Linked DNA regions of Tribolium castaneum. The main gene of each other region encodes a partner of the protein of the gene in region 4 in a complex. Links are inferred from orthologs where the notes say so. Each region holds a gene or a part of one and is shown on either strand. Other genes may lie near its edges. The genes, in order: RNA-binding motif protein, X-linked 2; Prp5; spliceosome-associated protein CWC27 homolog; Sf3b2.

The links.
Region 1: Sf3b2 (region 4) and RNA-binding motif protein, X-linked 2 share a complex: the UniProt entries of both Homo sapiens proteins name them as parts of the minor spliceosome. The link is inferred for Tribolium castaneum from reciprocal best matches to the Homo sapiens genes SF3B2 and RBMX2.
Region 2: Sf3b2 (region 4) and Prp5 share a complex: the UniProt entries of both Homo sapiens proteins name them as parts of the 17S U2 SnRNP complex. The link is inferred for Tribolium castaneum from reciprocal best matches to the Homo sapiens genes SF3B2 and DDX46.
Region 3: Sf3b2 (region 4) and spliceosome-associated protein CWC27 homolog share a complex: the UniProt entries of both Homo sapiens proteins name them as parts of the minor spliceosome. The link is inferred for Tribolium castaneum from reciprocal best matches to the Homo sapiens genes SF3B2 and CWC27.

The regions. Positions count from the first base shown.
Region 1 is NC_087396.1:22,563,467-22,570,674, reverse strand, and holds RNA-binding motif protein, X-linked 2, read left to right. Parts: upstream 1-3,990; 5' UTR 3,991-4,129; coding exon 4,130-4,143; intron 4,144-4,192; coding exon 4,193-4,979; 3' UTR 4,980-4,983; downstream 4,984-7,208. Other genes in the region: Cul1 (cullin-1), read left to right, coding at 1-80; TBC1 domain family member 31, read left to right, coding at 747-820, 867-1,299, 1,347-1,495, 1,542-1,977, 2,024-2,378, 2,566-3,195, 3,243-3,865; mitochondrial tRNA-specific 2-thiouridylase 1, read right to left, coding at 4,984-5,577, 5,778-6,004, 6,054-6,238, 6,286-6,451, 6,498-6,579. UniProt on the Homo sapiens protein: Involved in pre-mRNA splicing as component of the activated spliceosome. As a component of the minor spliceosome, involved in the splicing of U12-type introns in pre-mRNAs.
Region 2 is NC_087399.1:721,678-729,289, forward strand, and holds part of Prp5 (probable ATP-dependent RNA helicase DDX46), read left to right. Parts: intron 1-4,391; coding exon 4,392-5,441; intron 5,442-7,277; coding exon 7,278-7,612. UniProt on the Homo sapiens protein: Component of the 17S U2 SnRNP complex of the spliceosome, a large ribonucleoprotein complex that removes introns from transcribed pre-mRNAs.
Region 3 is NC_087396.1:19,896,134-19,903,715, forward strand, and holds spliceosome-associated protein CWC27 homolog, read right to left. Parts: upstream 4,953-7,582; 5' UTR 4,849-4,952; coding exon 4,807-4,848; intron 4,757-4,806; coding exon 4,215-4,756; intron 4,169-4,214; coding exon 4,059-4,168; intron 4,006-4,058; coding exon 3,792-4,005; intron 3,744-3,791; coding exon 3,302-3,743; 3' UTR 3,263-3,301; downstream 1-3,262. Other genes in the region: transmembrane protein 209, read right to left, coding at 940-1,068, 1,117-1,329, 1,379-1,848, 1,897-2,214, 2,262-2,414, 2,464-2,639, 2,689-2,826, 2,875-2,888; uncharacterized protein LOC658443, read left to right, coding at 5,910-5,964. UniProt on the Homo sapiens protein: As part of the spliceosome, plays a role in pre-mRNA splicing. Probable inactive PPIase with no peptidyl-prolyl cis-trans isomerase activity. As a component of the minor spliceosome, involved in the splicing of U12-type introns in pre-mRNAs.
Region 4 is NC_087396.1:14,195,533-14,203,923, reverse strand, and holds Sf3b2 (splicing factor 3B subunit 2), read left to right. Parts: upstream 1-2,810; 5' UTR 2,811-2,957; intron 2,958-3,081; 5' UTR 3,082-3,116; coding exon 3,117-3,216; intron 3,217-3,267; coding exon 3,268-3,494; intron 3,495-3,546; coding exon 3,547-3,728; intron 3,729-3,779; coding exon 3,780-3,981; intron 3,982-4,034; coding exon 4,035-4,211; intron 4,212-4,784; coding exon 4,785-5,017; intron 5,018-5,154; coding exon 5,155-5,509; intron 5,510-5,563; coding exon 5,564-5,808; intron 5,809-5,855; coding exon 5,856-6,153; intron 6,154-6,200; coding exon 6,201-6,266; 3' UTR 6,267-6,340; downstream 6,341-8,391. Other genes in the region: uncharacterized protein LOC103313715, read right to left, coding at 1-2,444; eukaryotic initiation factor 4A-III, read right to left, coding at 6,426-7,156, 7,211-7,546, 7,599-7,746. UniProt on the Homo sapiens protein: Component of the 17S U2 SnRNP complex of the spliceosome, a large ribonucleoprotein complex that removes introns from transcribed pre-mRNAs.

The DNA.
Region 1 (7,208 bases), about 8.4 Mb from region 4:
AATGCATAGATATTCTGATCGAGAAGGAGTATCTGGAGAGGACTGAGGGTCAGAAGGACACCTACAGCTACTTGGCATGATTCAGCAAACGCAACTGTCACCCAACTGTCTTTGATTAACAACCGGCGGAGTCAACGAGTGGCTTGTATATTGTAAATATTCGAAAAATAAATTGTACTTTAAGTGATATGCTATACTAAAAAATACACAACTGTATTTATGTTTTGATTGAATTGTCCTAGAACTGTCAATCTGAGTTCTGGCGCTCTCTTGATATTCCTTTGAATTTTTGTTTTAATTCTGCTTTTACTTTATTAATTGTATAGAATCTGTTTATTTGTATTACTATGTGAAAAGAATACGAATGTAATTTAATTCACCGATTTTAAATAAATTGTTTTGACAAATTGCTGTTTGAGTTAACGCCACTTTAACACACATTGGAATACGATTATCAAAAAAACATAAATAAAACTATGAATAATTTATTTATTATTTTATTCTATATTAAATTGATGATACACCTTTGTTAATAGGAAAATGAAAAAATGAGAAAAATATCACAGTTGGCTGAATAATTTGACTTCGCGCCACCTTTCGGTGTGCTAGTGCAACATGCAATGACAAGTTCACAAAGGTTTCTTGAACTCGATTTTACAAAATATTGACACAGATTAGAGGTTATCTTGCTTTAATCTGTGACCATCGATAAAGACAAACCAACCCTTGAAACAACCACAACCACCATGACTCTAAACCTAACCAAGGAAAACCGCATTTACAAGAAACTTTTCACTTTGAAACCCTCCCAAAGAGACGGGTATTGGGCCCTTGCCCCTTGGACCAATTAATTGCCCTGTTTTCAGCTTAGTGCTAAACATCCACCACACCGACAGAAACGCGCAGAAGATCCGCTTTCTCAGTTGCTGTTTCAGCAAAAATGGTCAAACACTGGCCTTGGCCGACTACGAGGGCAACATCTTTGTGATCGACTTCACGAGCACCAAATTCTGGAACATCCCAAAATTCACAAACACTTGCGTTATGGTCAAGTTTTCGCACTTCAAAGAGGGCGAAATTTTAGTGGGGGCACATTGTGGCGCTGTGTACGTGGTTGAGGCCCAAACTGGCTTCGTCTGCGGCCAGTTGAGGGGCCACCAGAGCCCTGTTAATTGCATGACGTTTGGTAGTAACTTTTTGTGCCTCACGGGGTCCACAAGTGAGGCGATTTTGTGGGACTTGAACACCAACAGCAAGCTGCAGGTGCTCAGTTTGCAGCACAGTTGCGCCCTGAAATATGTACGTCTTTGCGATCGTTAGAATTAATTTGATTTCGAAAATTCCAGGTGTGCTTCATTCCCGTTTCCTCCTATATTTTGACATGTTTCAACGACGACGTGATCCAGATCTGGCAGTTTGGCACGTTTGAGATGAAGACTGAAATACCACCTCTGGTGTGGTTCAACCACGAAGTGAAAAACATCACGTTCACACAGTATGACGATGGTTTTTGTCAATTGTTTTTTTATGTTTTTTTCAAGGGACGGCAAAGTGATGGTGATTGGTTGCCGCTCACCACACCTCGCCCTCTTCCTACTCTCGAACTTCAAACTATTTAAATTTATAACATTGCCAGAACACATCCAGTCACTGAAACACATTGATTTCATCCCCCAGCCAAACGACGCCGGCTCGAATAAAATTTTAGCCATTTTATCAGGCCGTGGCACTGTTTATTTCTACGACAGCCACCAAAATGTTCTAATGAGCGAATTAGTTGCAAATTACGAAATTTCAAAATACGATTTTTCGGCGAGTTATATGGCCTGTGTTTTATCGTCCGGTGACGTCAATATCTACGATGTGACCCAATACGTGGTTGTGCCACTCAAACTGAAGGCCGTTCGGGCAGAAAGTGCGCGAAAAAAAGTCAAATTGAAGCGATGTTTGGAGAAAATGGGCATAGTCAAGGAGCAGGTGAGTTGAGGCGGACCGCAGACTAAACAACTTGTCAAATTGTCAGATTAGGGAGATTCTCGAGATTGAAAAATTGAGAATGATATTGAAAGAGTGTGGCGAGTTTCCCGATTCATACCGGACCAAAATTTGGGAACACTTGTTGGCACTTCCCAATAATAGGGAGCTCTACAATGGGATTATCAACCACCGAATGATAGTCTCATTTGAGGATTTGTGCCGCAAATACCCGCTTGAAAACAAGCGAAACCTCAAAAACCTCAAACAACTGTTGGATAATTTGGTCACGTGGTGTCCCTTCTTCCTCAACGTGGATTATTTGCCACTTTTTGTGTTCCCCTTTGTCAAGGTTTTTATTAACAAGCCGTTGACGTGTTTTGAGGCCGTTTGCACGATAATTTGTAAGTGTTTTTTTATTCAATGAGCGGCAAAATTATGGAATAGTCTTATTAAAACTGAAAATATTTAAAATCTCATTGTTTTCAAACTGTTTTTGCTACAACAAAATATTTCTAATTAAGATTTTTCCATATTTTTGTTGATCCGGCTCGAAGGACCACACTATGGGTACTGAGTGAATAATCGCAGTGAACTGGTGTCAATTCTGGTTCGAGTACTTCCCTCTCCCTCCAATCAACATACTTGCGATGATTGAAAACGTCCTAATGGTACACGACCCCGAACTTTTGGACTTCCTAACCAGAAAAAAAGTCTCTTCCGAATTGTACGCATGGCCGATTTTGCGAACTGCATTTTCCGAGGTTTTGACAGCGCCATCCTGGAAAATTTTCTGGGACCATGTTTTAACAAACGAACCTTCGTTTCTACTGTGTGGAGTCGTGGCTTACAATATTTTACAACGAACCTCCATTTTGAGTCTTAAAGACGATAAACAATTTCGGTGTTTTTACAAAACGCATCATCCCATAGATGTTAAAAAATTGCTAACGAAAAGTTACCACATTTTGGCCAAGACGGGCGAGGCCGTGCACCCACGGCAATATTTGAACATGTTCAAGAAAATTAATTTGGGGGAATACCCCAATTTTTGTGATTACCCCAAAACCATGATCGAGATGTCGGATAAAGAGGCCGAGATGAAGAGAGAGATGGCGGGGTTGAAAACAGACGAGGTTGATTTGTTCAGACGCCGATTGATTAGTTTGGAGCGGTTGCAAAATTTCGAAGTGGAGGAAGAAGAGAATAAGCGAATTTTGGGTAAGTTTTTGTACATTTTTTGGGGTTTTAATTAAATAAATTGTCAGAAATGGAACGCGCGATTCGTAATCAATTGTTGGAGGAGCAAACCCGTGTCCAGGAGTACTACGAAAGGGTGGCCAACCTGCGCGAAAAATTCCACCAAGAAGACAAAATTTTGGCCTCCTTAAGACACCAAATAGCGAAGGAACAGCAATTGAAAAGCCGCCGAAAATACCTATCGTCGATTATGGACGATGTCAGGTTCCGAAAAGGCGAGAAAGGTTACGCCTTGACCAAGACCGAGGACGAACTCCTCTTCCACTATGCCGAACTTTTGAAAAACAAGTACAAAATCGAAAAGTTACTAAACACTGATGAAGTTGTCACAAGTACAAAACTATCAGTTGATCAACAACAGGAACAATTATCGAACGAAATCAATTTTGTGCGGAGTAGTGAAGAGCCCCGCAAACATTTGAAGATGTTAAATCTGACAACGGGGCTTGAAGCCATGGATGCTCTAATCGAAAAAGTCGAAAGTGAGCTGGAAAAACAAAAGAGCGGGAGTGACAGTGATGCCGATCGACGCGTTGTCGCCCTGCAAGCGGAAAGCAAAGAGTTGGCGTTGAAAATTGCCAATTTAATCGAGCTACTTGCCAATTTAAGGAGTGAGGAAGTGGGCGGATAGCACAATCAATTTTATTATAAGTTGTATCGTTTCTATTTATACGTTTTATGATCTCATATGCACCTGTGATATGTTTTTAAACGGCAATAAATTTACAAACCGATGTGAAGTCGCCTTAATAGTTCCAGCCGCGGTGTGAATGCACCTTAACGCAATTAACACAAACGTCAAACGTACGTCAAATACCTAACCTATTTTTTGAACATTTGTTTTATTTGTATTTGTTCATGTTTTTCGGGGTCAGAGGCCCCACAATCACGCACCATGAATCCGTTAACGTAAGTATTGTCGATTTTTTGCCCCAATTTTGCGAAGTTGTCTTTCCAGGAACATGAAAAATGTGAAGAAACTGAGCGAACAGGAGCTCTACACCGGTAATAAAACCTCCTGGCATGACCAATACAGGGACAGTGCGTGGGTTTTCATCGGCGGTTTGCCCTTCGACCTGACCGAGGGCGACATAATTTGCATTTTCTCGCAGTATGGCGAAGTGGTGAACATAAACCTGATCAGGGATAAGGACTCGGGCAAGTCAAAGGGCTTCTGTTTCCTGTGCTACGAGGACCAAAGATCGACCGACTTGGCCGTTGATAATTTCAACGGAATCAAAATCTTGAACAGGACGATACGAGTCGACCACGTCAGTAACTACAAGGTGCCCAAACAGGGCAAGAAAACGGACGCTGAGACGAAGAAACTGTACGATGAGGGCTGTGCCCCCAAGGCCGTCCCTGTGCAAGTTCCTGTCAAAGCGCCAGTGAAGATTAAAACAGACCCTGACGATTTTCGCGAAACACTGGCCGACCAGATTAATTCTGAGATCAAGTTGCCTGAGCGCTTGCCCATTTACACGATAAAAAAGGAGAAAGTGGACGAGGAGGCGCCGCCGGAGCCTGTTGTCACGAAAGAGAAGAAGGAAAAGAAACACAAGAAGGAGAAAAAGAAGAAGAAGAAAAAGAAGTCGGACGAAAACAGCAGCGAATCCGATTCAGATAGGAAGAAGAAAAAGAAGAAGAAGGGCGAGTCAGGGTCGGATTACTCCGCTGAAGACAGCGTGTCAGAGGACGAGGATAGGAGGAAGCGGTCGCGGAGTCCGAATAAGAAAAAGCGCTGATTTACTAACATCTATTTACAGCTCTGTGCTTCATATCTTCATTATCAGTAAGCTCGTCTTCACCTTGCGTCACATTGACATATTTTTTCAAAATGTGGGAGACACTCCCTAGACCATTATTCTCCAAATAATATAGCGAGAAGTGTGAAACTCCCGTGTTAATTATTCGAGCCCCTCCGAGACACTCGCCATCTTTCGACAAGACAGCGAACTGTCCCGGAGTGATGGCCCTCTTGTACCTATTCACTTTAATAATCAGTCCTTTACTTGTTTGGCACACCTGGCATTTGACCCAATATTTGGTGTGTTGGAACTTGAAATCGCACTCCAAAACCCCGTTTTGTAAATCAGGGGGCTGTGAGTGGATCCAGTGGGGCTCACTGGTCAAAATTATGTTCGTGTAAAGTAACGGGTGTTTTGTCCCTTTGACTACGTAAATTATGTTCTTGTCTACGTCTTTCCGGGCCACGAAATAAGGGCTTTCGTAGCTGTGGAGGCGCGCCCTTTGCCCCAAAGTCCACTGGTGCACCCCATTGTGTTGACCCACGACTTTCGCAGTGTCAACGTCCACGAAATCGCCCGGTTTATCATCAATATACTGAAAAAAATGTTTAGTCAAGTGACCAGTGCAAAGCTTCTTTGACCAATGACAGGCCTCCCTTCACCTAGAGGGAGCCACGTTAGTGCTTGACTACAATATTTTTTTTAATTAAAAAAAATTTATAAAACTTCGAAAACAACAAAAATTAAAGTAAGAAATAATTGGCCAATCACGGAAGCTGTGAACTAATCACTTACTTCTCTAATAAAGTCTTGAAATTTGCGATTGCCGATAAAACAGATCCCCATACTCTCCTTCTTCCTTGCGATTTTTTCAAGTCCGTTTTCCCTTGCAATTTTTTTCACTTCCGGCTTCATTAAATCGCCCAATGGGAACATTGTACGTTGCAAAGCTTCTTGATTGACTTGGCACAAGAAGAACGTTTGGTCTTTGAACCAATCAACTGCGTTTAGTAGTCTTACCCCTGTTTTTTTGTTGTAATAAATTGTTTTTTTTTTTGACTGGATACAGACCCTTTTCCGGGTTATAATGTTCAAGATAAGACCCGAAACTAGTCCTTGCGTAATGTCCGGTCGCGATAGCGTCAGCCCCTAGCTCATTTCTCGCGTATTTGTAAAAATAATTAAATTTAATGTTACGATTGCATAGAACGTCAGGGTTTGGCGTGTTGCCGGTCTCATATTCTTTGATTAAATTGCTGAAATTCGAATAATGTCTTTTTTGGCGGGGAATTTAATTATATACCTAAACACTTCGTTCCAGTAATGTTTGACAAAATTGACGTGAGTTAGTTTAATGTCCAGTTTGTCACACACTAGAGCAGCGTCTTTGTAGTCAGCGTCAGCCGAACAGTAGCCCTTTTCGTCCGCAATGTCCCAGTTTTGCATGAAAACACCCTGTATATCATAACCTAGAACTTTGACTCGAATTTATTCGAATTTTTTGACGTGATTTACCGCGTTTTTTCAATAAAAGTGCCGCAACGGCGCTATCGACGCCCCCAGATATGCCCACGACCACCTTTCGGATGTTTAACATGCTTTTTTCGCCGTTTAAAGGAACATAACCAACAAAATTCGACAAAAGTCAGCGGTAGCACAACTGGGTTGATCAGCGGTAACAAGCGAAAAAATGCGCCAAAACGGAGATCACGTTTTAATAATTATTTAAATTATGATTTGTTTAGAGTGTCCAATAACAGGGAAACGATATTCATTTTTGTAATCTTGTACGTAAAGTGCAAAAAAAACCTAATGGGCGCGGGTGTAATGTTGGTTGCATAACATTATTTTTTAAATTACAATATTAGAAAAACCGCACTGTAGACTTGTCGTTGCACTTGATAGATATTAGAAAAGAAACAGGTGATAAACTGTCAGGTTGATGGCAAAGCCTTGTTGACGATTTAATAAATGTTTCCCAAAAAAATCCAGAACTGCCAATTTAAATTGCCACGAATTTGCGCATGGTGTCAGAGTTTGAAGCTTTAGATTTGGTAAAAAAACGCAAATCCACCCCTGTGTTCACCCCCATGGCCTTTTAGGGGGCATGTGTGGGACACCCACCTTTAGCCACCTTTCATGCACTTCCGTGTGGCGTCAGCACCGTCACCGCTCTTCACTTCTTGAACCAATCCGCACGTTAGATAAAGAGAAAAGATCACGGCC
Region 2 (7,612 bases), on a different chromosome or scaffold from region 4:
AATAAAGCAAAAGTTGTTTTATTATTTAACACCCAGTGTAGTACAGTATAATCGTCGATTATTATTAATTAATTTTTAATAATTCGTGGAAGAAAATTGTTTTTCAAACAGTCGACGATAAATAATGATTTTCTGAGGCAATGTTTGTTGACTTTTAATGTTCTTTATTAAATAGTAGGCATTGGTAAAAATACATATAAAAAATAATAGGGGGGAACAAAAATATCTTAATAAAAAAAAGAACAATACAAAAAAAGAACACAAAAGACGGATGAAGAGGCGAAGTTGTGACACAGGTGTTCCACTTAATATTTAATATTAATTATTAAAAATTATAAAATAAAATGAAACTGAATAATTAATAACTAAATAAAAATTGTCTATCGACAAAAACAAAGAAACAAAATAGAAAAAGAAAGAAAATTTAATACAACATAATCGGAACCAATTATGGCAATATTTTGGAATATTTATTGTTCGGTTGACTATAAAAATACATATTCATTAATTTATAATAATTTGTCGGAAAAATATTTCAAACAGTCGACGAAAATTGGTAAATTAATTGGAAAAACTAATTTATTTAATAATTATTTGAAACACCGTTTGTTGACCTTTAATTAATGCTTTATATTAAATAATAAGTATTGGTAAAAATACATATAAAAAATTATAGAAGGATTATAAGAAAGAACAATATAAAAAAGACAATAAATGGACGAAGAGGCGAAGTTTTGTCACAGATATTCCACTTAACATCTTAAAATTTAATATTAATTATTAAAAAATATAAAATGAAAAGAAACTGAATAACTAATAACTAAATAAAAAGTGGCAATCAAGCAATAATAATTAATTAATAATTAATAATAATTATTACGAAAATAACATTCTTTAAGAATAGATTTTTATCTATTATCAATCCCAGACTTTTAGTCAAAGAGAAGCTGGAAATATTTTTGAAATAAACAGCTTTCATCTATTTCTGTCTTAATATTTGTCAACATTACATAATCATTCCTTTTGTAAGATCAAATTTCGATAAACTGTGATTTTGTGTTTTGAATTTTTTTTCTAAACACAAATTAAATCACATTGTCGGCCGGCCATTACAATTATTCATACACATCGAAGACGAAATTCTAGTTTTATGGGCGGGACCTGTTTATCGTCTGATTTGTCCCCGACTAATTTATCTACGGCACAAAAAACTGCAACACGATTAAGGTGTTTGCCATTGGTTATTGATGGACTAATGCGCTCCCAACTACAAAACAGGCCAATCACAAGGCGATTAAAAAGGCGACAAAAACTGGTTTTATTATTGGGTGCTACTTTCCCTGATTTCTAAGAATTGCTGCTGAAAATTGCAAGCTGAAACTACAGAGCAAACAATTTAGCGACCAAACATTTACTTTTTGTAATTGATTATTTGGTTAAGAAATGATGTTTTTTCGCGCTTTTGCTTTGGATGCCGGTCTCGCATCGGCACCCTTGATGAGAATTAAAACAATAAAACCTTTACGTCCCAATAATCGGATTTATTAGCGCGTCGTTCCATTATTAAAAATCCATACAGCTCCTGATGCAAACAAAGTCTTAAAATTCCTGTTTCGTGTTCAATTTTATTGCTTCGTCATGCGTAACACTGAGATAAAAGGGGAGACGATTGTACGATTCTCCAACCCTTGATTGTGTTACGTCTTTATGCCCAAGTTAACTAATTAGGGTGCGATAATACGGCTTTTGCCGAAACTAACTTTGCTTACAACTATCGTACGAATCGATGAGTCTGCTATTGGGAAAAAATTAATTAAGAGGAGTTTTTTTATAACCAGCCAGACGACACAATGCGGATTAAAGTACGATGTTCAGCAAGAGATTAAGCTTCTGTACTACAAACTTTAATAACACAATTCGTGCAAGGTAAGCCACTCGAAGCTCATACAAAGCAGCACAAGTGCTTTTTACGATGATAAAATGTTGATAACGTTTGCTAACTCCAGACTTTATTAAAAAATATAGTTTTGGAAAACTGTTATTCTGCGTACATAATTTATCAAGGGATGTCACCCTGCTGTGCAGACATTAATTTTTGGGAGCGTGGTAAAGAGAAATTCCACAGCTAGACATTATTTGGTCTACATATAAATTAGAGTTTATTGATCCGAGATGCCGAGCTGTCCCGGACCGTAACCGGAAATATATGTGTACTTGCATAATATAAAAATTGTGTTTCTTTTTTTAAATTCAAGATTAGTTCGATTTGTTGCTCTCGATTTTCGAAACGTAAAATTGATACCATTGTTGGAAGAGGGAAAAGAAAATGTATTTGGCGATTTATTTCCGGTGAATGGAGCGATCGTGGAAATCTACATTTTAACAAAACATGCGGTGGAAATACGAGGCTTTTGTTGGAATTGGAGTATTCGCCAAAAATGGAAGATTCGAACCACGCGCTCGTTTATTTAATTGTTTTATTTCTGTTTATTTAGGGGAAAAATTTCGGTATACAAGAGTGTAGACAAAAAGCGTTGTTTTATTTTAAACACTTAAAATATTTTTGATTTTGTTAACAATTATGTATTGCGTAATGAACGTGCTAAACAACGCTCAGTTTATTTAGGTGAGAAACTTACAAGCTTGAGACTTGTCATATTTTGCTTCTTTTGGCGAAATTTTGCTCAAAAACTGAGGAAATTAGTGAAATAGTCAGTTGGTAACATTGGTTTTATTTGATTTCTGTGCTTTTGAGGCGTGTTTTTTAAAGGTTTTACAAATTACTTAATTTAAAAACGAATAAATTGACTGAAATAAGATAAAATTAGTATAAATTTTGAGCGAATTTGGTGATTTTTCAAACTTCTTTTTTGAATTTTTTTAGTGAAAAATCTTAGTGTTAACTACTCAAAAAAAAGCAATTCTTTTATTTTTTTTATCAAATTTTGTTCATTCTTTGGTTTAGTTTGAATAAATTTTTTAAAAAATTTGCGTTTCTAGCTGAAAAACGGACTAAACATTCAAAAAAGACAAAAATCCTTTGATTTTCGACTTGATTTGGTGATTTTTTGGTTAGTTTTAGAGACATTTTGAAACTTAAGATTTTTACTCGAAATCAGAATATGGTTTTCGACCAATTGCTGTGTTTTTTTGCTTTATTTTGACGAAATTTTGCTCAAAATCGAGTTAAATCGAAAAACTGACAAGTTGTTACAAAATAAATTAATCTGTTGGTTTTTTATTCAATTTTAGGCGAATTTTTCCAAAAAAAACTAGTTTTACGTTTGACTGAACAACCAGAACTTAAAAGACTCAAAAAATGCAAAAATAAGGTAGTTTTGGATCAAAATTCATGATATTTTTCGATGTCTTTTAGCAAAATTTTGGAAAATAACCGAGATTTTAGCTCTAAAACGTCTAAAACGTCTAAAATGTGCGAGAAAGTCAGAAAATAACATTACTTTTAACCAAAATTGGTTGTTGTAAAAGTTTTTGTACAATAACTGAATCTGGTCGAAAGCTGTTAATAATTTTTTGAAATCTCAAAAACGTTTTTTATTTTTATTTTTTATTCAATTAAATTGAGTGAATTTTACTTTGTTTCTCACAAGAAACTTGCTGTATTTACTTGTTTGAAAAATATAAAATAACACTTTTTTTCCATCAAGCTTTATAATTTTTTGGCTTCTCTTTGAAGAAATTTTTCTTAAAAACGAATTAAATAGACTAGAATAACATCAATTTTGATCAAATTTTGTGATTTTTCAGCCAGTGTTGGTGCAATAATTAATCGAAAAAGTTTTAATAGTAATAATAATAATATAAATAATAAAATATACCAAAAAAGAACAAATTTGAGACAATTAAATTATACAAAACATTTATAAATTACGAAGAAAAATATTCTAGAAGCTTGATCTTTACAGTTTTAGTTTAGAAATTATTGAAGAAAATATCTAAATCTATTGTAATATTATTATATAATTTAAAACATTTAAATTTACGTGCTTTAATTCTCGAAAAAGATAATAATTTTGGACAAGTACTTTTATCATAATTTTTCAAAATAGTTATGTTTTTGGCTGGAATATTTACTAGAATTTTCGAAAAACAAAACCAAGAATTATGTGGTTTTTGACCTAACTTGGTGCTTTTTCTTTTTATTTTAGCGATTTTTTTTGTTTTTTGATCATTTGTTGAAAAATATTCTTGTTCAAAAATGACTTTAATTTAGCAAAAAAGCTGAATGTTTTTTATTTTTTTTTTGATTAAGAATTTCACTAATTTTGATTTTTTTTGGGGATTTTATACGTTTTTGTGTTCCTCTTCAATAAAAAAAAATTATACTGAGTACTTCATTTAACTCCTTCAACAAATGTCCTTTTTTGCAGGCAAGGGCTGCCCTAAGCCCATCAAAACATGGGCCCAATGCGGCGTCTCGACCAAAGAGCTCAACATCCTCAAAAAGCTCGGTTTCGAAAAACCCACCCCAATTCAAGTCCAAGCCATTCCTGCAATAATGTCCGGTCGTGATTTAATCGGAATCGCGAAAACCGGAAGCGGAAAAACCCTTGCTTTCCTCCTCCCCATGTTCCGCCACATCCTTGACCAACCTCCGCTGGAGGAACTCGACGGCCCTATCGCCATCATAATGACCCCCACACGCGAACTGTGCATGCAAATCGGCAAAGACATCAAAAAATTCACCAAGAGCTTGAATTTGCACGCGGTTTGCGTTTACGGCGGCACTGGCATTTCGGAACAGATAGCCGAGTTGAAGCGCGGGGCGGAAATTATCGTATGTACCCCGGGACGCATGATTGATATGTTGGCGGCAAACGGCGGCAAAGTCACGAATTTGCGACGCGTTACTTACATTGTGCTTGATGAAGCCGATCGGATGTTTGATATGGGGTTCGAGCCGCAAGTGATGCGGATTATTGATAATGTGAGACCTGACCGCCAAACGGTGATGTTCAGTGCGACTTTTCCGCGCCAAATGGAGGCGCTAGCCAGGCGGATTTTGCAAAAGCCGATCGAGGTCCAGGTTGGTGGACGCTCGGTTGTGTGCAAAGATGTGGAACAACACGTTGTTATTCTGGAGGAGGACCAGAAATTCCTTAAATTATTGGAGCTGTTGGGTCTCTACCATGAGCACGGGAGTATCATTGTCTTTGTCGATAAGCAGGAAAACGCCGATATTTTGTTAAAAGAATTGATGAAAGCGGCGTACAATTGCTTGAGTCTTCACGGTGGTATCGACCAATTCGATCGCGATTCGACGATTATTGATTTTAAGTCGGGGAAAGTCAAACTTTTGATTGCTACTTCGGTGGCGGCTCGAGGGCTAGATGTCAAGCATTTGATCCTGGTGGTTAATTACGACTGTCCTAATCACTATGAAGATTACGTCCACAGGTGTGGTCGGACAGGACGTGCAGGTAAGTGATTAAAAAACCTACAAGAAAAAAGCTCACAAAAATACCACTTACCAATGTTTCAAGTTAAAAAAAAAACACTTCCAGTTGTCCAAAGAAAAAAAAATAGATTTAAAATTTTATTGTTATAATTTTTTTTTTTTAAGTTTTGCAACCTACTGTTTAAGTGAAAACTTAGAAACTGAAATAGTAAAAAACTCAAGACGTTTTTGAGCAATTGAACAATGTTTTATCTTCACAAAAGAACTCACAGAGAAATACGCTCATTATAATAAGCTGTATTTATTGTAAATGGATATTACCTTTCCTCCCTGGTTTCTACTCATGAATAAAGCATTTTCTGTCAATTCAAAAGAGTAACTTTATTTTCTGATCTAAATAACAATTTAAAATTGGGAGGAATTTTACTTAATATTTTGATACTTTTTTTAAGAATTACTCAAAACGTAAACTACGAATATTCTGCACTAATACAATGAAGGAAATCTTACTTTTGTTTTAAACGTTACGTTGTTTTAAACGTTGTTTACTGTTTTAGATATTACACTTCTTTATTTTTCTGGTATAAGAAGAAGAAATAAAACAATGAAGAAAAAAATAATATTAATAAAAAAATACAATCAAACATAATGGGATTGATTTTTTTTGTTCTTGACTTATTTTAGAAGCGGCAATTGTTTTTTATAAATTTTTTGTTTAACTAATATGATATGTAAACACAAAAAATAAGCAAAAAACAATTACTTTTTTCTAAATAACAATTAATAAAAATTAATTAAATAATAATTTAAAATAGTATTTGTATAATACTTTTACTAACTTTTTTATTTTATTTTTGATTTTTTTTGAATTAATTTTTTGATTTTTTTATTCTTACTTTATACTTTATACTTATATACTTTTATGCTTTTTTATTTTTTTATACTTATTTATTATAAAAATGTGTATTTACTAAAACATTAATTTGTTAGCTATTATTAAAAAAAATAAAAATGACGTCATTACTCTAAAATGAATGACGCCAGAAATGCCTTTATGATGTCAAAATGTACTATTTCAAAAAATTAAATCGACTTGTTCGAGGATTTTTTCGAAAAATAATTTATAACATAGTGCGTTACTTTTAATTCATCTGTACAGTCGAACAAAATGAAAATGATGTCTCAATGACAAACGTCAAGTTAAATAAAAATGTAAATTTTTTCATTGGAAAATTTTAACAGCCATCGAAAGTGAGCAATTTTTTTACGATGTAATTTATTCATCAATGTTTGAAAATTATAATTTTTACATAAAAGTTTGACAAATCTAACACAGACTGAATTCAAATGTTTCGATGTTAAACCTAAAAAAACGTTCGAATTTTTACCAAAATTTTTACCATTTTTACTAAATAAGTCGGATAAGTCGGAACTATTTAAGTTAATAATGATTTGTTTTTTTAACGCATAATTTTCTTAAAGAAATAGTTTTATGAAAAAAACTCAACGTTTGGATTTAATTAACTCGACGTTTGTCAATGGAAAATAAGTGGCATTTTAATCCGAATTAGTTTAATTAATTAATTAATTCTGAATTAAATTTAATTTTGCTATCTGTAAACCAGCTCAACTAAAAAAAACTATCTTGAAACTACGTCAAGTTTGCTTCCACAGCTTGAGGCGTCATTTTCATTTTGTTCGACTGTACGTAGAAAAGCCGTATATAAAATTGAGTTGTTTTTGCCAAAAAATTGATTTTAAATTTTTTAGATTTTGTAAATTTTTGTGAGTTTTTTTCTTCTGGGCTTTTTTCTGTGCGCATTTTTTTTCGGTGGGCTTATTTCAATGATTCGTGCAGGTAACAAGGGCTTCGCCTACACCTTCATCACCCCCGAACAGTCGCGATATGCTGGAGATATAATCCGAGCGTTTGAACTAGCTTCAGTCCCCATCCCTGACCCCCTGCGTGCACTTTGGGACTCCTACAAGTCCAAGCAAGAAGCCGAGGGCAAAAAAGTGCACTCCGGGGGTGGTTTCAGTGGCAAAGGCTTCAAATTCGACGAGAATGAAGCTGCCGCAGTCACCGAACGAAAGAAATTCCAAAAAGCGGCCTTAGGTCTTGCCGATTCCGACGATGAGGATTTGGAGCATGACATAGACCAACATATCGAGAGTATGTTTGCCACAAAACGG
Region 3 (7,582 bases), about 5.7 Mb from region 4:
CAACCGTAAGTTTGAAAAATATAATAATTTTATTTAATAAATTCATATTAGGGTGCATTTTATGGAACTGTGTTAGCTCTTTGTGTAGGATTAAGTATAGCTTGTCCTGCTACGTACTATCGAATGAATAATATGATAAAACGTCCCATAAAACCACTTTCAACCAGTGGATGTTTTGTATTCAACCAAACTGCGCCAGCTAGCTCTTGGTTGAATGAAACTATGAAGTTAGTTCGTTAACGTTTTATTTTATTTGTTTCAAGTTTTATTTTTTTTAGTAGTCCAGCGGCTTCATATCAGCCACCATTCATATTTCGAATTTCCTATTTTTATTTTTCCACTATTTGTGTCGGTATAACTATAATTTCAGCTTTAGTTATCAGTTATGTAACAAACAAAAACGATCCAGTAGTACAAAGGGAACTTATCAGTCCCATTAGTCGATTTTTATTAGATAAGAAAGAAAATGAACGTCACAAATCTGTGAAATACTCGAATGTCGATAAAATTTTAGTCAGTTCCAGGGAATAACTTTTTTTGTAATAAATGTAAGGGGATTTTTTTAGTTCAGTTATTTGCTTTATATTGGTCTTATGACGTTAATACCTATTTTTAAATAAAAGTGAATTCAAGTTACACTAAGTAACCAAGTTTTTTATTACAATATTACAGCTAATTTGTCGTTTGTCTGTAGGTAGATACAGTAGTAATAATAAATAATCACGTAATATTGAATTTTTGTCACGAACATAAAATGAATCGAGGAAGATGATCAGGTTATTTGAAATCGTAATTTGAAACATTATGCAACCAACATTATACGCAATTTCATTCCTTCAAAATACTACATTCCGGGCTATTTTTCTTTTTACAGAAAAATAAAATTACTTGGGGAAAAATAAAAAATCAAAATACTGTGATAGGCATTTATTGTAAAAATTATTGTCCAATAATCCAGAGCATATTAACCCCCGCCCTGCCCAAATTAACTCTTCCTAACATTCCATGCTCTTGCTTGTTCACATGATACAGAAAGAATAAAATACTGTGAAATAAATTATTGTAACCCTGAAACATTTATTTAGTTTTTACTTCCCTACATAAATTTGTAAGTACCTTGACCATTTCATAGATCGTTTCTCCCACAATTACTCGAAAATGTGGCGGTTTTTCAGTCACTTGTTGTATAAAAAGACTGTTGGGTGTTAGAGTCGGGACTTTATCCTTGCTTTTGATGTAATAAAGACCACTGAAAGGTTTTGTGTCTGGCATACTTGGGAGTGGCATTAGCTGGGTATCCAAATATGACGCAAACAAGTGCATTATGATCTAAAAATACGAAATGACTTTACACAAAAACAGATTTTAGGGTAATTACGGCTGAATCAGTGGGGAGTGAATCATCCCAGTCTTTCCCATTGTAGCCGCTCCCCCCACTCCACTTAAAATCACTCATGCAGCCCCCTTTGGCCAACTCTCTTATCCGTTTTTCCAAATATTCTTGGTTAGAGGTGACTTCCAAGAACGGTATCAGGGTTGGTAGACTTGGAATAAAATGGGTAACATGTGCGACTTGTGCAGTCTTTCTCAGCCTGTCTAACCCCACTTGGCCAATTTTAATATCCGTCAGTCCATGTTTCTCAAAAGATTCATTAATATTATCAAATTCTTTGATCAGTCTTTCTAAAATGGTTTGGGAAATCCATTTGCGTAAATTCTCGTTCCACTGTGTTAAAGACACTATGTCAATATTAAGCCTCGACCAGTGAGCCAAAGCGGACGTTTGGAAAGCTGTAGGCGAACTTTTATTTTCAATTATATTTTTCGGACTACTTGAATTGAGATTAGCTAAAAAAATGTGTTAACAAAAACTAAAAGACGAAATTAAAAACTGACTAGGTGATTGTGTGGCTAGTTGATAAGTACAACGTTTCAAAAAACTGGACATGTCTTTGGCCGTTTTCGTCACAGGGTGGCTCCAAAACGAACTCAACAAATTTGAAGGTTGTTGCGTCTGGTTGTTCAAATTTTTAACACTTGTGTTAGCTTCGAACTCTTTTAAATACGTATCTAAGTCTTTTTCGTCTTGGATAAATTCGATCCCCGATGTGTCCCTATATTGAATGGGGCTGTTGGAAGAAAATGAGGAAGGCGAAGGGCCAGAAACTACTTTATGATAAGTCCAAGAAGGTGATGATAATGAGTAATTTAAACCTGAAATATTTTTTGTATCGTTTTGAGTTGCTGATTTAACAACTCACTGTCATTGGGAGTGGACCTCCAGCTGTTCGCAGTCATGTTCATCGGAGTGCTGGACAGTGGCGAACTTGGAGGACTAGGACTATTTGAAAACGAATGTGAAGGTGTTTGAGCTGTTGGCGCATGTAACTTATCAACAACTTTAAAATTTGGGTCTAAAAAACATAATTAACACTCCCCTTTTTCTAAGTTCCGCACCCAAACCTGAATCACTGATTCCTAACAGTTTCTTCTGCTCCAAAGTGATTGGTATTTGCTCATGATTGAAATTTGAGATCATAATTTTTGCAGCATAGTACAAGAGATTTATGCTTACTATCAGAACGAACGCATATTTGATATAGTCGTAAATATCAGTGTACAAAGGACATGAATTTGCTCTAAAAACACAGTTATGGGAAAAAGAAGGTTAAGTGAGCAGTTTGTTACATATCATAAAGAAGGACTGCAAGTATAAGGAGGTTCACGGAGCCCCAGATGAAGCTTTTACGCACAGTTCGCCGTGTTTTATTCACGGAAAGGCTCCGTTCTAGTGCAAAAGAGTTGTTTAAAACGTTACGATTTGGTCTAAAAATAATCAGCTGTTTTTCTTAATACTGATGGTTTTTTACTTACGTGCACACACTCATGCTTCTCACTATTGTCTATTCACGTACACAAAAGTTTCATTAATTTTTCATACTAGTTTAACATCAAACACCGGTCCCACAAAATTAAAAACGTAACCTCAATTCCGAAAACGCGCGCATCTGCTCATATAATCCTACGCGCATAGAGTCTTATAATATGTAACAACTAAAATAATAATTTAATTAATTAATAATAATTTATTAATTTAACACAAACTATAGTAGAGTCATTAATAATACTAATGTGATTGTTATTAAAGCGAGTGCTAGAATGGTAAAATGTAGGTAAAAAACTCGAACTTTACGTTTATTTGAAGTTTTTGCTCTTTGGAGCCTTTGCTACACCAGGATAAGGCGGGAAAAAAAAGGTCGCATAAAATTACAAATCTTTATTTTTAATATAGCAAACAACACTATTTCTTGAACTTCTCCACGGTTTCTCCACGTCGTCGTTTATTCAAAGCGTTTCTAGGATCGTAAATTTCAAACCAATCGTCATCTTTTCTATTGGCGTCTTTTGCCAAGACTGGGTTTTTGTCCTGGAAGCACAGTCTGTGCTTCAACCACGCTTGTTCTTCCTCATTGTCTTCTTCATTCTCTTCCCCGTCTTTCATTGACTGTATCTTCTTTTTGAACTTTTCCAACAAATTCAAAGTGAACTGTTCTCTCCCAGCTCCCTTTTTAGGTAATGCGTCTTTTTTATTTTTGTATTTATCGAACTCGTCTTTGTACTCTTGTATTGTCTTGTCTTCTTGGACCTTCTTCTCGGTTGCAATTATGTCCTCTTCCTTCTTTTTCAACTTATTTTTATGGTATTCCTTTTTAACGTTCTGGATTTCTTTTTGGATCTCCTCACTGTAAATAAATTAATCGAAAATAGAAAAATAATTAATAGTCACTCACAATTGTTTTTTCTTTTTCTCGCGCCTCTCTTCCTCTAGGAATGACTCATATGTATCTATCGGTTCCGCCGTTGTTGTGGAAGTTGGTACAGGTTTTTTGTGTTCTCTTTTTAGTTTCTTTCTGATGCTCTCTAACTGTTCTTCTGGATTAACTTCTTCCACGTCATCATTCTCCTCATCTACGTCCTCCGTTTTAGAGCTCAATTTGGGATCATCTTCAATTAAATTTAATTAAAACATTTCCACACCAATTATTTGAACTGTGTACCTAACACATCGTGTGTGGATTTGCCTTTGCCCACAAACTTTTCATTGACCCTCGTTGACTCTTCCTCATCTTCCTCAGCCTCTTCCCCAAACGACAATAACTTAAAATTCCTACAACAATGATTTTACAACAAATTACACAAAATATTTGACTGACTTGACTCCTGGCTTTTTCTCTTTCTTTTTCTTCTCCTTCACCTCAACCTGTCTAAGCCTGGGTTGGATGTCGGCAAATGGATTGTTCAAAACTTCCGTTTTAATGATTTTGTGAGGGTAGATCGGCCTTTCGTCCCTTATTAACCCATCCTCAAGCTTGAGCATATTAAAAATCGTGTCTCCGGTAATTTTCCCAAAAATCGTGTGTTTGTCTTGCAATTCGGGAGTCGCCCCCAGGGTGAAGAAAAACTGAGACCCGTTGTCGTCCTTGCCCCCGTTGGCCATCGCAAGCAACCCTCTTCGCGTAAAGCGGAGTCTTTGGTGAAACTCATCTTTGAAGGGCTCTCCATAGATTGACTCTCCGCCTGTACCGTCACCATTTGGGTCACCCCCTTGGGCTATAAAGCCCTTAACAACCCTGTGGAAGATAGTGTTGTCGTAATAGCCCTCAAGGCACAATTGTATGAAGTTGCGGCAGGTTTTTGGCGTTTCTTTTGCCCACAATTCGACGTCTATGTCACCAACTGTTGTTTTCAACAACACCTGAGACGAAAAATTTGATTGTAGTGTTCGTAAGACGAACGATTAAATACCTTTCCCGAAGTTGGGGGCTCCAAAATATAAACACTACTCATTTTTAAAACTTTAGAATGTTTATTATATTTTGACAAGTGTCAAAGAATGAGGTTAAGCTACGAAGTTTGGTTGTGTTTAAAGTGCCAAGCTTCGCCACCTTAGTCACAATTTAAAATTTGGTTTTTCAAATTTTGTTCTTAAAAAAAATACAAATTCAAAGTCATGGTTTTGTGTATGAATTGAGTTCAGTTTTTTTCAAATACTTCACTGTTTTAATTGTTTCATAACAATTTTTTTTTCAATAGGATAAATAAGGAAATAAACGAAGGAGCGCCAGATGCTATTATTATCTTTTTATTTTAAGATTTGAATAAATACGTATAATAGTAAGAATTGCGCGACAATAAAGAATTAAAAAAACAATGAGGTCAAATTTAAATTTTCTGGAATTGGACTTGAACTTTCCCCTTTATCGTTAGTTTTCCACATGGTGACAGTGAAAAATAATCGGAAAGTGAAAACTAAAACAGATTAGGCAGTAACTAATTGTTGTTTATTTTGTGTTATACTTATGATATCAATATTGTCTGTCTATCGCAGACTTATCTAAATCAAACGTTCTCCAGATTAGAACTAAACGCTTGTTGAATTAAATATATTGTCAAACTGTGTTAGCTTAAAAGTGAACTCGAAATTCAAGTACTTGTGTCCAACTAAAATTAGAATTAGTTCTCGACTAAAAGCGGGGAGAATCACCATTGAGCCACAGCGCGCGTTTCACGCAAGATAAAGAAATCCAATGATAAAAGTTTACAGAAAATTCTCACAGATAAGTGTTGGTATTATAAATATGAGTATACACCTGTCTGCGAGGACTTCCTAAACGTGTGAATATTATGTTATTGTTGTTTGGTCGCGGAGAGATATGTTGGAGTCTGGAACTTTAGTTGAAGGTAAATATAGCTGATTTATTTGCCCAAATGTTTAGAGAATCGGCTCAAATTGTTATCAATTTAATTAACATAATATAAACAATTTCGAAAATTTGTTATTGTTATAATTGGGTCAGAACATGCAATGAACTTGGACTGTAAAGAGCGTTTTTGTGAGTGTGTTTGCAATGGAAGTATGTGGCACAAGTGCGATACAAATGAAAATTTTTACGGTTTTACAAGGTAATGCGCGAATTTTTTCGGCGGAATTATTCTCCGGACTTTGGCTTGACAGGTTGGCATTATTTCAAGAGAATTATTTTATTGTGCGTTTTAAAATTAAACTCTTTTCTCATAGCATTGTCTTCGGACGAGTTATCAGTCTTATCGCCCAATTAACATGCATATAATTAAACTCATTCTCATCAAACACTATTTTGTTCAATATAAAGTATTTCTTGGAGAGAATTAAAATCGTTTTGTAGCATGTTTGAAATGAAATTTATTTTTTTATTGTACATATTTTACGGTGTTTAATTGTTTGTATTTACGGCTTTTTGTTTTATTTACGACAACGTAATATTTATTTTTTAATAATTCTGGTGGCATGTGGCAAGATGTTAATAGAATTTCAGGGTCAGTTTGAATTTATTAACCAAATAACCAAAATAAAAAACTAAAATACTACTGTGGTAGGTACTATTATTTTTACAATTTCAAAAACTAGATCCGGCTTCAAATACCCACGTATTTGGTGTCAAAAATAACTAATAATGGAAAAATAATCTCGTCCTCAATCCCACCAATTTTTAAATCGATTAGAATTATTATTAAGACTTGATTTACGCAGGATCTTTGTCAAATATTGATTGATTGGCCACGTCTTTGTACCTCTGCAAAAATACGTATCGAATTATCACTGTAATTATAAATTACAAAACAAATATTAAACACTGATAACAGAGTTCTGGATGAGTAGACCTGACATGAACCTCTGCATAAAAATAAGAAATATTTTTCTAATAATTTGATCAAAGTTTCAAACTTTTCCAACTAATTAATAAGTTACATAAAATTATGTTGCTTGATATTTATAGTGACTTAAATCAAGATAATTAGAGATATTAGATAACTAAATGGAGCTCTTCGAAGACTCTTTGTTTATCAACTGTATCATATTTAGTTAATTTTCGTGAGAAAACATAGTTTCACAATAGATAATGGACAAACTTAGAGTAAATATAAAATAATAGCAACAGCAGATCATCGACCGTAACAAAACAAATTGTTCGGAAAAAACCAACACATCATAACAGACATATTGATATAAATTTTAGCTGAGTTGAACTATGCATAAATATTGTTTCAAATATTTTAACATTAGATAAGATTTCTTGGAAAACTCTTATTAGACGAAAAATAGTTTTTTTAATATTTAAAAACTTGATAAATTAAATGCATAAATGTAGCTTCATTAATTTAAATTAATAATTTGATATTCTAGCCAAGGATGATACACATTGTGGATTTGTAAGAATTGTGCCAAGCTCTTCCCAGAAATTTTAAGTGATTAGTTATCAAACTGGTTTAAACTGAGACTGGTATTTGATTCTATTTTACGCTTTATCTGTGTATTTTATTCACAATGAATATTGTACATTTTTAATAAGGCTAAGACTATTAAGAAATAATGCTAATAAAACTGATAAAAAACAATGGTTTATTATGCATTATTTGAACGTTTAAAGTATTTGGAAAAATTTTTGCAACTAAATCTTTGTTTGACTGCTTGGCTATTGCCAAATATAAATTTGTTATCGCTTTTTAATTTGGAGCAACAACTAATCGTATCAGGAACCCA
Region 4 (8,391 bases):
TTGCTTTTAGTGGCGACACTTTTGATTTCTTCAAGTCTGACTTGTGCTTTTGCACTTTTGGAGTGGAATGGGTTTGAAATTCCAAATTTATTAATATTGCAATTCTTCTCCACCAGGGCTCTTCTTTCATCGTTTGCTTCACGCCTAAGGAATCCGAAATTGGTTTTCTGCATTCGTGGGATGTGACTTGCAAGGTTATTAATTTTCTTTTCCAGTGCACTTCTCTCTTCACTTGTAAAAGTCGGTTTGGTGAACTTGAAAACAGGCGAGCGTATTTTAGTCTCGAACGCGAAAGTTGGTTTCGGAAATTTGAAGACAGGAGGTTGGATTTCCTCTTCGTTCTCACTCGCAAGACTTTCATCAAAGTTCTTCTTCACACCCTTTGGCAATGGTGTTGAGGGCAAGGGAATAAACGTCATCGATTTATCCTTCTCAGCAGTGTCTGGGGCAAACCTCAACTGTTTTCTCCCTACTTTCTCGGGTTTTTCCGCTTGTTTTTGCGGCTTTTTCCCTGATATTAACATCTTTGCTCTTTCCTCCTTTCTCTGTTTGTATTCAACTATACTTTCAACCCTATCCATTGCTCGTTTGTGAATTGCCGCAAAGTTTGGCACTTTGACATTAGAAAGGGGTTTTTTCGCTGAGAGTTTGGGATTTTTTAATTTTGGCGAAACTCGTGGCTTTGTAACTCCTGGTGTCGACTTGGAGGTTGACGGTCTTGGACTGCTAATCCACCTCGGACTGCCCTTAATTTGAAACGGTGTGGTGTTAACTTTATTCCACCTTTTTCTTTGAGTAACTTTAGAAAACATCACTTGGGGCGTTACATACTCTTCTGAATTATCGTCACCAAGGGACGATTTGGTTCCATCTTTCCCTGATACGGACTTCAAGAGTGATATATCATTAACACTATTTTCCAGTTCGTACGTTCTCCTTCTGATAGAGGTCTCATCACTGCTTCCATTCAAAGACGGCTGGATTGGGTCTTCAGCTGAATGCACAGACAAATACGGTGGAGCTTCATCTTTTAAACTTTGTGTTGAAGGTGATATGGGGCTTGGCAATAAACTGACAATCAAGTTTGAACCAAAAGACTCTTTCTTTTCACTTAATTGCTCAGAGACAGTGGTTTGGCCAATCTTTGAAATCAACTGTTCACTTTGCACATTACTGTCGTTTTCTTGACTCTTGCAATTTTCAGACGGTTGTTTAATTGGTTTTCGATCCAAATATGAATTACTTGTTTCAACATTAAATGTCTCATCATTTTCCTCACAATGCTTGGCGGAATTTTCAATTTCTTTAAATGAAAAGGACTCTTCACTGCTGCTCCCACTCTCGTCCAACTCAATGACAGGCACATTTTGTTTTTTGTCCTTTGATGTTTCAGATTTTTTTTCTTTTTTCGCCGTTGAAGCAACAAAATTAAATTTGGGCAAATCAATGGTAGGACTGATCTTCTCTGTAGTAGTCTTTTCCTGCACTTCAATGTAGCTTGAACTTCCCTCATCTTCATTCACAGGACTCAAGTTTACAGACTTGCAATTTTCAAAAGATTTTGAATCTTCAATTTCCCTAAACGAAGAAAACTTTCCTTTCCCACTTTCGTCCGCTTCCAAAGAAGACAAATTCTGTTTTTTGGTCTTTGGTGTCTTGCTTGAAGCAACAAAATTGGGGAAAGTACCATTGCTAGGACTATTTTTCTCTGTAATACGTCCATCTTGTGTACTCTTCTCGTTGACTTCAATGTAGCTTGAACTTCCCTCATCTTCATTTAAAGGGCTCAAATTTACGCTCTTGCAATTTTCTGACGGTTCTTCAAGAGATTTAAAATCTTCAATGTCTCTAAACGAAGAAAACTCTCCTTTCCCACTCTGTCTTTTGACCTTTGGTGTCTTGCCATGTTTATTTTCTTTTTTCACGTGTCCATCTTGAGCCATTTTCTCCGTGACTGTGATGAAACGTGAACTTCCCTCACCATCACTCACAAGATTTACAGAATTTTCGGAAGATTTCTCCTTCAAACTTTTTGTAGTGAGATCTAATGTCTCATCATTGCACTTGTCTTCCAGTTCACATTGCTTGGTACTCCTAAGAACTCTCTTAGCTTTGACGATTTTTCTTTTATTTTTTGGTACAGGTGGCGGCGAGATTTTTTGAACTTCCTTGAACAAAAAAGGGCTTCCTTTGTCACTTTTCCCGCTCTCATCGAACTCCAAACGAGGCAAATTCTGTTTATTATGCTTTGACGACGTTGGCTTAATATTTTCGTCTTCTTTTTCCACTGCAGAAGCATTAAAACTGAAGAAAAGCAAATCGTTCGTTTTTCTGACTTTTCGTCCACTTCTTGTTGCTTTGGCACTGCTTAAGGGGCCACTGGTGCTTTCCATTTCAGGTGGATTTAGTTTTTTATTTAAACGTCTGCTGGACCTCACTGACATTTTAATGCAAGCTATAAAACAATTTTTATGTAATTTTCGTATCAAAAAAACTCGGTTTTTACCTTTAACGTTGTGTTAAATCCAATTATTCGCTTTTTATAGTAACTTTACAGTAAACAAGGCACACAAATGACAAACCGACAACAAAACCGTTTTTTTGAATCTGACATTTGAGATTGAGATGCGTGATTGGTCCAAATTAGATTGGCATCTTGTTTGAAAAATAAATTGATTAAATATTTATAAATTATTGTATTTACAAGATGTTAATAGAGAAAGTTGTAACTAACTGGATAAATAACTACTACATTTGATTTATTCTGTATGAAAATTTTGGGAAATGTTTTCGCTTTTGCAGGAAATCGAGCTGTCGCGATTACGGTCGCATTCGCTCTAATTCCAAACAAAAATGTCGACCGAAACGTTGCTGAATGCCGCAATAAATTATTAATAATATTAAAAGTTTGCGGTTTTTCCTCATTGTAGATAAAATTTAACAGACTATCTGTTATAGTAAGTTCGCTTCTTGCTTTGATTCAAACATTTTTTAAGAAATTAGTATGAGAAAGAGGTTATATCAAATTGAGAAAAGTGCTTTTTAGTGTTAGAACAATTCCATAATCCCGTCTCCTTTCAGCTTACGGCTGCAACAAGCACTGATTCTACTGACAAATGAATCCGGATCAGCTACAAGAGGGTGTCCCGGAGCACCCTGTGCCCCACCAGGAAGGGATGTTTGGGTCAGGTATGCAAGGGTGGGCTGGTGAACATGGTAATTGATTGTTTTCAACCAGTTTGTTTATATCGCATTGGACTATTTCAGGTGTTGGTGGTGAAAAACAACTCCCCTCATTGCTATCCCTAAAAGTGGATCCTCCTGATCAGATGATGGAGACGCCACCAACTGAAGTTGTTTTACCTCAAGTGTTGGAAGAGGTGTTGGCGTTAAAAAATCAGAGAGCGCGTGAACTAGAACGAGAAGAAACGGAAACAGTAGTTCAACAGCCGCAGACTCCTAGAGAGGCGCTTTGGGAGAAAGATGACAATATTGTAGCTTTTTTAATTTTTTGTATGAATATAGTTATAACGATTGTTTTTTTAGGAACCCGTGGTTGAAAATGAAGAAGAGAGTCAGGTGAAAGAGACCACCAAAATCAGTAAGAATAAAAAGAAGAAGAAAAGGAAGAAGAACAAGAAAAACAGGGAGAATGAACAGAATAAAGCGGCTGAAGAGGAGGAGAAAAAGGATGGGCAAGAGGATGGGAATACAGATGTGGAAGTTGAGTAGGTGTTTTTTCTATTTGTTTGACAAAATTGTTATGAGTTTAATTAAAGGTACGTCCAAGAGACGATTAGTCTTCTTGAACTGGCTCCACAATACCGGCAGTTTTATAGCATTTTTGACGTGTTTAAAATAACTGATCAAAAGCATGATATCCCACCCCCAGTTCTGGCAACGCCAACATCATTGTCAAGTAAATCAATGTTAAATAGCATAGGAGATCACTTTCAGGAAGAAATGGAAGATGGGGACGACGTAAGTGTTGTATTACATTATGAATAAAAAATATGTATCTATTTTTTTTTCAGAAAAAGCTTGACGATAAGTCAAAAATGTCCAAAAGAAAGCTTAAAAAATTGACGCGACTTAGCGTCGCCGAGCTTAAACAACTAGTCAGTAGACCAGACGTTGTAGAAATGCACGATGTAACAGCCAGGGACCCAAAATTGTTGGTCCAATTGAAAGCTCACAGAAATACCGTTCAGGTAACGATTATAATTTTCTCAAAAATTAAAAGTAATGCAGCCATTCCATGATTACGGACGGCACATAACTATTATTTTAAAAATGGCTTATTAAAAAAAAAAGATGGATTAACAATTTAAATTCATTTTGCCACTTCTAAAAGTTGTTATAAATAATTAGTTACGGATGGGACACAAAAAATTATGCTTTGTAACAATTTTATTATAACACGAAAATGTTAACAAAATTCAGGAACTACTAACAATTAATAAAAAAAGAGAATACCTTTTATTAAATTATTATTAAGAATAGAATTAAGTCGTAAGCTTTGGAAAAATAATTTTCGTCACTACTTCCAATTTGAAAACTCTTAATTTTGCGCACATATAGAATTCTGTAGCATTATTAATTATTATTTTCTTTAGACGAACTTTGTTCCAAACTAAACATTTTACTGAACGCATAAGAAGCAAGGATTTGAATTTTTTATTAAAAAGTGATGTTTTGGAACAAACTTAACAGATTTTTCATAATAATAAAGCAGATGAAAATATATGCGGAGTTAGCAATTGGCTGAATAATGTGTTTTTCAGGTACCACGTCATTGGTGTTTCAAACGAAAGTACTTGCAAGGTAAACGTGGTATAGAGAAACCACCTTTTAATCTTCCAGATTTCATTAAAAGGACTGGAATCATGGAAATGCGTGCGTCATTGCAAGATAAGGATGAATCCAAAACACTCAAAGCTAAAATGCGGGAAAAGACCAGACCCAAACTTGGAAAAATCGATATTGATTATCAAAAATTACACGACGCATTTTTCAAGTACGTTTTTTTTATTTTTGATAAAAGCTAAAATTGCTATTGTTTGTAATTGTGTATTCGTAGAGATTGGGAATAATTGAAAAAGATAGACAGCTGTTTATTTAGAATTTTTTTTATAATCTCATTGTTATTGTTAGGTGGCAAACTAAACCCAAAATGACCATCCATGGGGACCTTTATTACGAGGGCAAAGAGTTTGAAACCAGATTGAAGGAAAAAAAGCCTGGAGATTTATCAGAAGAATTAAGAACGGCCTTAGGAATGCCTGTGGGCCCTAACGCTAATAAAGTACCCCCACCATGGTTGATTGCAATGCAACGTTATGGTCCCCCACCCAGCTACCCCAACTTGAAAATTCCGGGATTAAATGCCCCCATCCCTGATGGTTGTGCCTTTGGGTACCATGCCGGTGGGTGGGGAAAACCACCGGTGGACGAAAATGGAAAACCATTGTACGGTGATGTGTTTGGAACAAATGTTACCAACATAGATGTAAGTATTTTATAATATTGTTTTATTGAATTTTGTTCAAATATCAATGTTTAGGACATTGGTGAGGACCCTTCCGTGGATCGCACCCTCTGGGGCGAGCTCGAGTCCGAATCAGAGGAGGAGGATGAGGAAGAGGAGGAAGACCAAGACAACCAACAAAACGCCGCTGACGAATCCGGTCTTGTTACTCCAGCTGAGGGCTTGGTGACACCTAGTGGTCTCACAAGCGTGCCAACTGGCATGGAAACACCCGAAGCTATAGAATTGAGGAAAAAGAAAATCGAGAGCGAAATGGAACAGTAAGAATTATTTTGTCTCTAGGGGGGTATTTTAAATTGTTTTGTAGGGGTGAAAACCCGATTTTGTATCATGTCATTCCCGAAAAACGCAATGAGAGAATAGGTGGTTCCATGATGGGGAGCAGCCACGTTTACGACATGTCTGCTGTGGGCGCAGCCCCTGCAACTAGTCGCAAACCAGGGGACAAGGAAGGAATGGTTGAGTTGGCTCTTGATCCGTCTGAGTTGGATATGGATAGCGATGCAATGGCGGTTCGTTACGAACAACAAATGAGGGAAAACCAGTCACAGCTGCAGAAGGAAGATCTCAGTGATATGTTAGCTGAGCACGTCGCCAAACAAAAGGTAACATATTGTGTAATTTGTTGATTTACCTAATTGTTTCGTTTTAGAATAAACGCAAGCGCCAACAACAGGACACAAAACAAACGAAAAAATACAAAGAATTCAAGTTTTAGTGCATTTTCTGGTATGAATATTTGTCATTCTGATTTTAATTTGGCGAGAGAAATATTAGGAGTAGGAAAAATCATAGTCGTTTATTACTTCCCATATTAATTAATTAATTATTACACAAACTTCTTACATAATATAAGGACATAAAAAATGTTATTCGTTTAAATTAAATCAGCGACATTCATCGGCATTTCGTCAATCTGTGTGGAATAATACTGCTCAATATCCCGCAAAATCCTGATATCGTCCGACTTGACGAAATTAATCGCAACACCCTTTCTACCAAACCTGCCAGATCGCCCAATACGGTGAATGTACAACTCACGGTTGTTCGGCAAATCGTAATTAATGACCAAACTGACTTGCTGGACGTCGATACCTCTCGCCCACACATCGGTCGTGATAAGTACACGACTCTGTCCCGACCTGAACTCCTTCATAATATTATCTCTCTCCTTCTGGGGCATATCACCGTGCATGGAACTCACGGTGAAATTGTTTTCGCGCATTTTTTCAGTCAACCAATCGACTTTGCGTTTAGTGTTGCAAAAGATAACAGCTTGCGTGATGGTTAAAGTATCGTACAAGTCACAAAGTGTGTCAAATTTCCACTCCTCACGCTCAACCGCGACGAAAAATTGCTTGATGCCTTCAAGAGTTAATTCATCACGTTTTACCAAAATACGGATCGGGTCCGTCATGAACTTCGACGTGATCTCCAAAATCTCGTGGGGCAAAGTCGCAGAAATCAACACGACTTGAGTGGAGGGCGGCAGGAACCTGTAAACGTCGTAGATTTGCTCCTTGAAGCCTTTGTTTAACATTTCGTCGGCTTCGTCCAAAACCAGCATTTTGACGGACCTGGTCCTAAGGGCGCGCCGTCTGATCATGTCTGAAAATTAAGTTTTTTGGTAGGGGAAATTATTTATAAGATAATTATAAGTACCGTAAACTCTTCCAGGTGTTCCACTAACAACATGTTGCCCATAATCCAGCTTCCTGATATCCTCTCCCAGATTGGTCCCACCAATGCAGGCGTGACACTGCACGTTCATAAAGTCCCCCAAAGCCAGGATAACTTTCTGGATTTGCACGGCCAACTCCCTCGTTGGCGACAAGCAAAGTACTTGGGTTTCCCGCGTTTGCAAGTCAAGCGACTGCAAAATAGCGATCGAGAATGTGGCCGTTTTGCCGGTACCTGACTGGGCTTGAGCGATAACATCTCGGCCCTTTATTATCGGCTTGATAGCCCTCTGTTGGATAGCTGATGGTTTCTCAAAACCTGAAAGCAATGACCTCAATCCGAGCCGCACTGACCCACATTTTCCTATTACCATATGCAAAGACACCGCGAAGGAGCTCCTCCTTCAGGTGCATATTCTTAAATTGCTCGATGACTTCCACATCTTCGCTGGTTTCGAACTCAACGTTCGACAAGTCTTCGAAAGCCGCATTGCGGTTTGAAGGTTTTGCGACAGCCATTGCCTCCGTCAGAAATTAGAACGTGTGTTAAAGTAAAGTTTAGATGATTTAATTGAATGTCCAGTTCACTGAAGCACAACACTTGGGGCACCTGTCTTTCACAAAGGTGTTTGCATTTTTGGGGCCACTTGCACGTCCCCAACTGGTTTGTTTGTAGTATTGAGAGAAATAAAACACTTATTTTTCACCTTTACTAACTTTTAAACACTTTTTCGCCCGTTTAATGTTGTTTGCACGCGAGTCGCTACGTCTTTTAGCGTTTTTTGACATTTGACAAAAATATGGCGTCCACTTAATAGTAGGCAATATACAAGATTGTCTTGTATAATTGGTTGCCTGTGCATACTGTTAAAAAAATACAATTTATAGGTTACTGTAGCAACCCATAGATGGCACACAATTTTTTTCTAGATTACTGTAAACATGTACTTTGACCTACCATACTCAGATGTCGCCGCTTACGTTTTTTGGTTTTAATTTTTTTGTGTAATCTAAAAAATGTAATAAAGATCTAGTAAAAATTTTATAGAATTTGTAATTTACAAAATGCGAAATATCTTCGTTCTCGTACAAGATAGAGGGGTGGTTTTGCCCTTTTGAAAACCCAACCGCCCCGTAGTATTTTTCCTGGGCTATCGAATAGGC